Linked DNA regions of Mus musculus: regions 1 and 3 are each reported to be linked to region 2. Evidence: microRNA targets listed by miRTarBase, many of them from high-throughput screens and not tested one by one. Region 2 holds a microRNA gene; each other region holds the end of a gene's coding sequence.
What was found. The annotated mature microRNA mmu-miR-30b-5p reads UGUAAACAUCCUACACUCAGCU and lies in region 2 at 2,053-2,074, opposite strand. An mRNA with a match to its seed (bases 2 to 7 or 8) in the 3' UTR can be bound and repressed. Matches are read on the target gene's strand: a 7mer-m8 pairs with bases 2 to 8, a 7mer-A1 pairs with bases 2 to 7 and ends in A, and an 8mer does both.

Region 1 (3,126 bases), not on the chromosome of region 2:
GCCATGCTGAAACGGCCGTGAGCGCCCCGCCCCCCGCCTCAGCCAGTTCCGGTCCCGCCCATTAAAGGAGCCGCGCTCGCCACACGAAGCAGGGAGGAGCAGTCGTCGCCTCTTCCACGAGGACAGGTAACAAGGCCCCAGAAGAAATCTCCACGAGGGCTTAAAGTTAGCGTCCACTCACTGAAGCCCCTTCTTCCAACCCGGGGATATATACATACAGATGTTAGTGTAAACCTTTCGTATCTCCTTTTTCAGTAAACTTGGGGTACGGAGCAGCCATTTTTACTCACACCCCCCCCCCCCCCCCCCCCCCCCCCGCTTCCTGATCATGCTGGAGGCTTGACAGCCAAGACCTAAACTCAGATGTGGAGATCAACTACTGTTCATAGTACAGCCTCCTCTTTAGGCGACCCACCCCCCCCCTCCACCACCAAAATTCCTTTATCTAAGGAAATGAAGCCATGTTCCAGTGAGGAACTCTGTGACACCCCCCCCAACTTCACACAAATTTTACCTGTAGTAAACAGAGCAACTTACTTAAAAACAAAAACAAATGTACTTTTCTGAGAAAAATCTTTGCTGTGGAAGGCAGGAGGGCAGGGCTGTCTTCAATCCAGCCTACACTGAAATAGCTTCGGATACCTAAGGGATCAAGAGATGTGAGGGAAAAAAAGGGAGAACCCAGAGAAAAAGCAGCACAGCACACATTCACTTCAAGTTTTATTGTGCCTCTTGCATGGTCTGCAGATAGGTTTACAGTTCGTTTTCTATAGGAACTGAGCTGTGATCTAAACAATGAAATGTTATTCCAACATTAATAAATATTCATAACCATGGAAGATGGCAGAGCACTTTATCCTACAGCAATGACAGTAGAGACCTGGACATGTTTTCACTTATGTCCAGAAGATCATCCCATGTGATTATTGAAAGCCAACATTAAACAAAAAGCAACTTGTTCAATTCCTGATTCCGTATGAAACTCTGAAACGCTCTGAATAAAACCTTGTAATTCTCACTGAGGCATGAGATGGATTCAGAACGCTAAGGAACATTAAACGGTCTTAATATCTAGTAACAATTTTGCCCCTCACCCCAGCCTTCAAAACCAACCTTGACTTAGGTTTCACAGCACATCCTATCGCAAAGGTTCGCACCCTAAGGAGGCGGCACATTTCAGCACACTCTTGGGCCTCTGGTTCTTGGGCCTCCCTGGGTCCACTCTATATAGTGCTAAAAGACTACCTCACAAGCTCACACTGGAGTTCTAGAAAGGAAAATGTTTCAAGCTCCCTCTTCTCTCTCCCCCCTCAGCTCAAAGTTCAAAAGCTATGTAGAACTGGAGGAAAGCAAGGTAACAAAAGACTGTTGAAAATCTATGACGTTACTAGATAGCTAGCCATGATTAAAGAATAATAATCCTGCAGACACTATGTGCCAGCTTCATGCTCAAAACCCTTAAATTCACCAAATCTAAATTAAAATAACATGAAGTTTTCAGAATCTCTGATTAAAAGAAAAAGTATACATATTGTTAACATATACTTATTCTTTCTTTTAAAAATTAGATACAAACATGCAAGAATTAAGGACTGATTCGATTAAACCAGTAGTTAACAGGTCTTTGCGATTAAATGACAACTGTTCAAGGACAAAGGAGACCACTGGTCAGTCCCCTTACCCTTACTTAACAATGTCAGAACATTTCACATGCGGATCTGCTATTAAGGTTAATTCCCAGGAGTTACTGCACTTCCCAACATATCTGAGTCATAAGAAGTTAGGTGCTCATACCCTAAATAGTCATGGCCTAACCCTATGTGGGAGGCACTTCAAAAATAAAAACTATTAGGAAGAAAAGGACAGATGTAAAGGAAATCTACCATTCACTGATTTACATAATTCAAAGTGCCATCCTAAACCAACACCTTTCATTTTCAAAGGAAAAAAAAACCCCATAATATATAAAACAGTAAACAAAGAACAGTCGGGTTACAGCTAATCTATATACAGAGATTTACAAGTTTGTCAATTTAGGCCTTGGCCACAAACAAATGCACATTTGTCCCTAACAAAGCTCAATGGCCTGAACCAACAGTTACAGGAGACAGTTGCCCAGAACTTTACAAAAAGCAGAAAAATTGCCCAAATTGAAACTCACTAAATTTCTCATTCCAGCCATGTCTCCAAAGAACAGAGACATTTCATCCAGCACACCAAGGAGAGTAAAGAGAGTGAACTTCGTTGCTCTTAGGTGAGAAATGCAACCACACTGGATGCAGAAAATAGTGCTGACTCCATTTATTTAAGAATCTCTCCCTAGAGAGCCCCACGTAAGAGGCCCTGACCCTAACACAAGACCCAAAGAGGAGCACACCACAAGCTGCACGGGGTATGCAGCAATACTATCTTCTCCCAACCAGTGAGCATCTGAGAAGGTGATGGGTGCGCTTTACAGTCATCTTTGTTTCCAAGTCAACTGGCTGATCTGCTGCCGCTCCAGCTCCAGACACTGAACTGTGTGAAGACCTCAACCACCAACCACAAGGCGGAGTTAAGGGACTTTTGGACAGTTCACAGTACCAACAAGTGTCACAGGCTTCGACCAAGTATAACCACATCCTTTGGAAATCCTTCCATTTTTGCAATTTCAAAACAGCCTAACTTGCTGTAAAATTCCAGAATCCTTTTATCATCTGGTCTTACTTCACAGAAAGCCCCCCGGGAGCCTAGAAATAAAACAAATGTTTTAAATGTAAGTAAGTGTATCATATAGATTTGAACCGTGTTTAATACAGGTAACAGCTTTATCTATTCCTAAATTTCATATTATAACTTTTATTAACGGGGTACATAATGGGGAACTCTGAGCTATATTCGCAGACTGACAACTTTTTAAAGTCTTTTTTGTTTTTGCTTTTGAGAAAGGGTCTCACTCTATAGTCCTGGCTGGCCTAGAACTCACTAAATCAGGTTGACTTTGATTTAAAAAATACCTAACTTTAAAAATATATTTAAGATTTATTTTATATATATGAGTACAGTGTAGCTGTCCTCAGACACACCACAAGAGGGCATCAGACCCCATTACAGATGGTTGTGAGCCACCATGTAGTTGCTGGGAAC
Region 2 (3,276 bases):
CTACTAGAGGTAGACTCTACAAGTTCCCTCTCCCCACTGTTGGACATTTCATCTAAGGTCCCTCCTTTTAAGTTCTGAGAGTATCTCACCTCCCAGGTCTCTGCTACTTTCTAGAGGGTTCCCCCCCCCACTCCCCCCCTCAAGGTTGCATATCTCCATTTATTCTGCTGGCCCTCAGGGCTTCTCTCCTGTTTCTACCACCCCTATATCTGATCATGTTCCCCCTTTCCCCTCCCCTCCCCAGATCCCTCCTCCCTCCCTTTGCTTCCCTTGATGGCTTTCTTCTCCCTCCCAAGTGAGTGTCCTCATGGGCCCTTCTGCTTGTTAACCTTCTCTATGGATTGTATTCTGGGTATTCTGTACTTTTTTTTGGCTAATATCCACTTATTAGTGAGTACATATCATGCATGTCCTTTGGGGTCTAGGTTCTCTCAGTCAGAGTATTTTCTAGTTCTATACATTTACCTGCAAAACTCATGATGTCCTTGCTAATAGCTAAATAATATTCAATTGTGTAAATGACCCACATTTTCTGTATCCATTCTTCAGTTGTGGTGCATCTGGGTTGTTTCCAGCTTCTAGCTATCACAGATAAGGTTGCTATGAACATAGTGGAGCAAGTGCCCATGTGGTATAGTGGGGCACCTTTTGGGTATAAGCCCAAGAGTGGTATAGCTGGGTATTCAGAAAGATCTATTTCCAATTTTCTGAGAAACCTCCAGATTGATATTCAAAATGGTTGTACCAGTTTGCAATTCCACCAGCAATGGAGGATTGTTCCTCTTTCTCCACATCCTTGCCAACATGAGCTGTCACCTGAGTTTTTGGTCTTAGCCATTATGATTAGTGTAAATAATCTCAGGGTCATTTGATTTGCATTTCCCTGATGACTAAGGACTTTGAACATTTTTAAAAGTACTTCTTGGCCATTCGAGATTTTTCTGTTGTGAATTCTCTGTTTAGCTCTCTCTATACCCCATTTTTTGATTCGGTTGTTTGGGTTTTTGCTTCTTGAGTTCTTTCTATATTTTGGATATTAGGCCTCTATGGGATGTGGTGTTAGTGAAGATTTTTTTCCTCAATCTATAGGTTGCCAATTTGATTAACTGACTACATCCTTTGCCTTACAGAAGCTGAGAAGTTTCATGACGTTCCATTTATTAATTCTTGATCTTAGAGTCTGAGCCATTGGAGTTCTATTTAGGAAATACCCACCCCCACCTCCCCAGCCCAGTGCCAATGAGCTTGAGGCTCTTTCCCACTTTCTTTTCTATTAGAGTCAGTGAATCTGGTTTTATGTTGAGGTCCTTGATCCACTTGGACTTGAGCTTTGTGCCAGGTGACAAATATGGATCTATTTTCATTTTTCTACATACTAACTGCCAGTTAGACCAGTACCATTTATTGAAGATGCTTTCTTTTTTCCACTGTATATTTTTTGGCTTCTTTTTCAAATATCAAGTGTCCATAAGTGTGTGGTTTTATTTCTGAGTCTTCAATTCTATTACATTGATCAACCTGTCTGCCTGGTACAAATATAAAAGTAGCAGTTAGACCAATCAGGTCTGTGAAAAGGGTAATGGATTAAAAAATCTTAAAATAGTAACAATAATGATAACTACCGTATGTCAAGAACATTCAACTGACATCGACTCACTTCATCAACAATCCTGTCAGGTACTATGACAATGCAATTCAGCTGACAAAGAAGTGGAGACCAGGAAAATTAATACTTTCCTTAATTATTATAGAACCTGAAGCTAGGCTTAAGGCTATTTAGCAACAAATTACAGTGATATGTAAGATTTACACTACTTCTGAATCAAAATATTGGTATCATCTATATTAAGATAAACAAGTATCTATTTTAAATAGTACAGCAAGTATTTACTGAAAACCTAAATATAAACAGTATTTATAATAAGTGCCCTTTAGCTGGGCATGGTGATATACTCCTGTAATGCCACTTAAGTCATGTATCAATATGTTAACTGGTGGATACTCCAAGACAGCTGACGTAAACATCCACATCCCAGCCAACGCATGTATGACAGCTGAGTGTAGGATGTTTACATGAACTGAAACTTGGCTTAGAGAGAGACTTGAGAACTCTTTACTATGTTTATACTTGGTTTTTTACTTGAGGCTCAGACAATTTTGCAGAATCTGTTGAAAAAAAAATTAGGCACAGTGATCTACATGAGGACAAAATCAACTTGAAAGATATCTTCAGAGTAAGTATAGAATCCACAGAAACAGCAAACATTTATCGTTCTCTCTTTCATGCTCTCTCTCTCTCTCTCTCTCTCTCTCTCTCTCTCTCTCACACACACACACACACACACACACACACGTATGGCAAGAACACAGGAATTCTATAGCTTTTCCCACCTAAAGGCAACTTACTGTTCTGACAGCATTCAACTTTCTCCACCCTTTCCCTCTCTCTAAACAACTGCACCTCCATTTATAGGAGCCCATTTGATGGGCAATACGGTGTACCAATCCCCTATTCTTCCTTAACACCCAGGTCCTTGCACCACAGGCATGGCTTTCCCATATCTCTACCATGGGCCATTATTTAAAACATGGTAGCAAGGGGTAGCACAAGGACATCTACCCCTTTCTGTGTTCCTGATTTAATTAAAAAAAAAAATCACCAAATTCCTTTACTAAACATTAAAAGTTACTCTTGGAATACTTTCATCAGGGAAGAAGTCCTTAAATTAGGAAATAAAATTACATATAACACTGTCAGCAAACTAAAACTTCCTGGCATTTCAAAGATACGCCATCACCTCAGGAATCTCCTGTTTTCCTGGAGCAGCATTCTCAAAACTAATCTATCCCCACCTCCAACTCCTTTCTCCCCTTTAAACATGTTGCTTTTTCCTGTTTTCACTACAATTACAGTTTGCTTGTCTGATTTCCTGCTGTTTTTTGTAGACACATTTAATTCTTTGGGGTGGGCCAGTCCTTTTTTGCAATCAAACTTTAGGGTTTGGCATGGTGACACACACCTATAATTTGAGTGCTCTGGATTTTAGTTCTAGAGCAACAATAGAAACTTAGGAAATAAAGCAGATTCCTAAGCTCTATCCCAGACTTACTAGGGATGGAACTCTTTTTGGGGTCCTGCAGTCTGTGTTTTAGTAAGCTCACTGTAATTGTGATGCACAGTAGTATTTGAAAGCTGTTTTTCCTAAGTACATTGGGAAGCTAAAGCACTGGCAGCAGTGACTGTCCAATAATCAGGGTGTGCATAATGTACTACTG
Region 3 (3,126 bases), not on the chromosome of region 2:
TTTTATTTATATTTTTGAAAAATGGTATTAAAACTTTTCCAATATACAAATATACACAAAAGTTTAAAGCAAATTAATTGCTGGCAGTTGCCTAGATTAAATAATTATTAATTTTAAAATACTATTTTTTAGCACTTATCTCATTCAAGTTGCATATAAGTAATGCTGTAATGCCTTGCACATATTAAACCTTAACGATGTAGTTTATATACTACAAATATCTAGTGACCCTGCACTTACCAGACATATTTGTACAACTCCTGGGCTATAACTTCTTGAGTTATATACAATTTCCTTTAGCTCCAGTTTCTATTAAAGCTTATTCATATGATTTCTTGTGCTCACATTACACACTCAAAAATATTTGTTGAAGAAAATAAAAAAAATGCAGGGAAATTTTTACATTGAGGTTTGCAATATAAAACATGTCAGAGTTTATAGAATCTTTTATAGGGAAGGAATTAATATTCCATTCATTCAGCTCAGAACAGGAAATGGACCGTTTTCTTCTAATTGCATATAAAATGTGCTCCCATGACGTAGTCAAAAAAGGCAAGTTACCACAGGATGGGGAAAATATAGCTTGGAAATGAAGAAAAACAAAGTTGCAGATAAAAGGAATAATAAAGACACAAGAAGAGGTTTATCAATGTCACTCAGAAGACCCTCAGCAGGACGAATGTCACAGTCAACTCTGTCACAAAACACTATGGTCTTTCCTTAGCACGAGCCCTAGACCTGTGGACCATTAGAATGGTGCAGCTACATACTAATGTAATTTAAACAACTTCTTGGAAACAGATGAGGGGTCAAATCACAGTATGAGAGACTGAGAAAGACTTTACAGGAGTGATAAAGCAGATCTTGAAGGTCAACACATGCAAGAGTCTGGAGTCAAGTTCTGGTAGAAAATTGCTTTCTTTCTTTTTCTTACGTAAAGATTGGCATAGCAGGAACATAATGGCAGCAGGGTAAGTTGAGGAATTAAAAAAATAACTCTTAGGATATAGCCCAAGGAATCTGATCTCATTTTGGCCTGAAAGATGAAGTATGCTTGTGTGTATGGAGATTACGAAGAGCCAAGCACCAGTAAAGAACATAATGCATTTCAGACACATTGTAGGAGGCATGTAGACCAATAGGAAGAGCATCTATTTACTAGTGCTGACCATTGCAGTACTTGGGGAAAACTCGGACTGCTCTAATAAAGGTACTGCTGTGCAGGAAAGCCATTATGATTTCCACATGCGTGAAGGGAGCACAAGTCACGGGTTCTGATTAGACTCCACTTTAATCCCTTTTCCAAATGTGCTAAAGAACTCACTATTTATGTATATACCATAATGGTGTATGTTTATATGTTTGAGTTATTTTTTAAATTAATATATCTCCAGTGACTCATCTTAGAAAAGAACTATTATTTGTCTTTCAAAGGAATATTTTAAGTAGAAATGACAAACGGAACTGTGTTTTATCTGTTGTGTTGTACCTGGTTGTGTGATTTTTAAGCAAGTATCTAGGATTTCCTGAAGTATCTCACTTAGAATTGGGTCATAGGCACTCAAAACTTTCCACTGAGACTTGTCTATTTCTAAAGCATCTCTCAGATTTAGAGGCACTAAAAATAATTTCCACCTGAGATTCGCTGATTCGCTCTATACATTTTCCTAGAGAAAAACACTATCCCCAAGAAAGAAATTGTCTTTATCTCCCACCCTTGCCTTTCTCCCTCCTCCCCCCCCCCCCGTCTTCTTTGGTAAATTTCAATAAGACTATATGGCCAAAGAAACATTTGTCAAGAGAAATGCTGCATATCATTTTTAAAAGCAAGGACATGGAACTACCAATGGAGACCGACTTTGTAAGGTCAGCCAACCGCAGGAATTCCAATGAGAAAACAGATCTCACAATTTCTGTCTATTCACAGGTCTTATTTAAAGACATCCTCCCCCTAAACCTGCCCTCAATAATGTCACAGCAACTGTATAGCTGCCATTAACTCTGTCATCAATCTGTTATCAGGCAGGCACCCTGAACACAGTTTGCCTAGAGTTAAAAACATCAACCCATTTCATCTCTGTTTTGTTGTTGTTGTTGTTTGTTTTGTTTTGTTTTTCACTAAAAGCCCTCTGAAAATCTATTGCACATCACATTTTGACTGCCATTTTAAGAGTCATTTTTGGAAATATAAGCATGGAGACCAAAGGAACTACATAGCCATAGCCTGTGTAGTAGCCTGTTGTAATTAAAGGTAGGGAGGGGTGTTTCTTCCCTTCTCATGGAGATCTGTCAGATGAAAAAGTTGATTACACTCATCTGAAAAGTTTGAAATAATGGGTGAAATATAGTTTACTCGTACAATCAATTTTAGTCATTTTTTAAAAACCATGTAAACTCTTAAAATATGGGTGCACACAACACTTAAAAAAAAACTCTGCTTAGACATTACAAAAGAAAGTCAGAATGTCATTGGTTTTCTCCTAACTTTACAGTGTGATAGTGCATACATGTAAGGCTATCAGAAAGGCATTATAAAGACACATGACCTGACCATCCTGACTGAGAAAAAGATGGCACACCACAAGATTCAATTTTCACAAAGAAAACAAAGAAAAGTCATCACTTTTTGTGAAAGAGGAGCGGCTTCACCATGCCCGCCAGGATCTTGGGCAACTGGGCAGCAATAACTTCAGACATCATTTCCGGAAATTCCACAGCCAGTGTCCGGGATTGGATGAATGTATTCAAGCAGTACAGGTGGAGCTGTTTCACAAGCTGTTAGTTCAACACGTGGGTAGAAAATGAAAGACAAACAATACAATCACACACTGTGCAAATATGATAACATTTTTCTAATGCTGTAAGTACCTATCTAGATGCTTCTTCTTACCAGAATGCAAATAACTCTCTCCATGCTCCAGGGTAATGTGGAAATGGTTTATATACATAAGGGAGCATGATGATAGTATGGTGTTTACTTATTTTTGTCTTGTGTGTAGACATGCATCCCTTGAATGAACTGCCCATAGTAGCCAGCAGATGGCATCAGAGCCACTCGAATTGGAATTACAGATGCTTGCGAGCCACCATATATGTATGTCCTGAGACCTGAACCCAGTTCTTCTG

Region 1: the mRNA of Oga is a reported target of mmu-miR-30b-5p. Seed matches in the 3' UTR shown: 7mer-m8 at 1,973-1,979.
Region 3: miRTarBase lists Pgr as a target of mmu-miR-30b-5p. Seed matches in the 3' UTR shown: 7mer-A1 at 2,389-2,395.

Annotation. Positions count from the first base shown.
Region 1 is chr19:45,749,552-45,752,677 of GRCm38, forward strand. It overlaps Oga (O-GlcNAcase), which reads right to left. Exons shown (of 16, transcript NM_023799.4): 16 at 704-2,729. The coding sequence ends at 2,593. Npm3 (nucleoplasmin 3) reads right to left here and starts at 14. Exons shown (of 6, transcript NM_008723.2): 1 at 1-14. The coding sequence starts at 5.
Region 2 is chr15:68,335,417-68,338,692 of GRCm38, forward strand. Mir30b (microRNA 30b) reads right to left here and starts at 2,094; the gene lies at 1,999-2,094.
Region 3 is chr9:8,964,632-8,967,757 of GRCm38, reverse strand. It overlaps Pgr (progesterone receptor), which reads right to left. Exons shown (of 8, transcript NM_008829.2): 8 at 1-2,775. The coding sequence ends at 2,620. Among named protein-coding and RNA genes, the nearest start is that of Pgr, 66 kb to the right of the region's middle.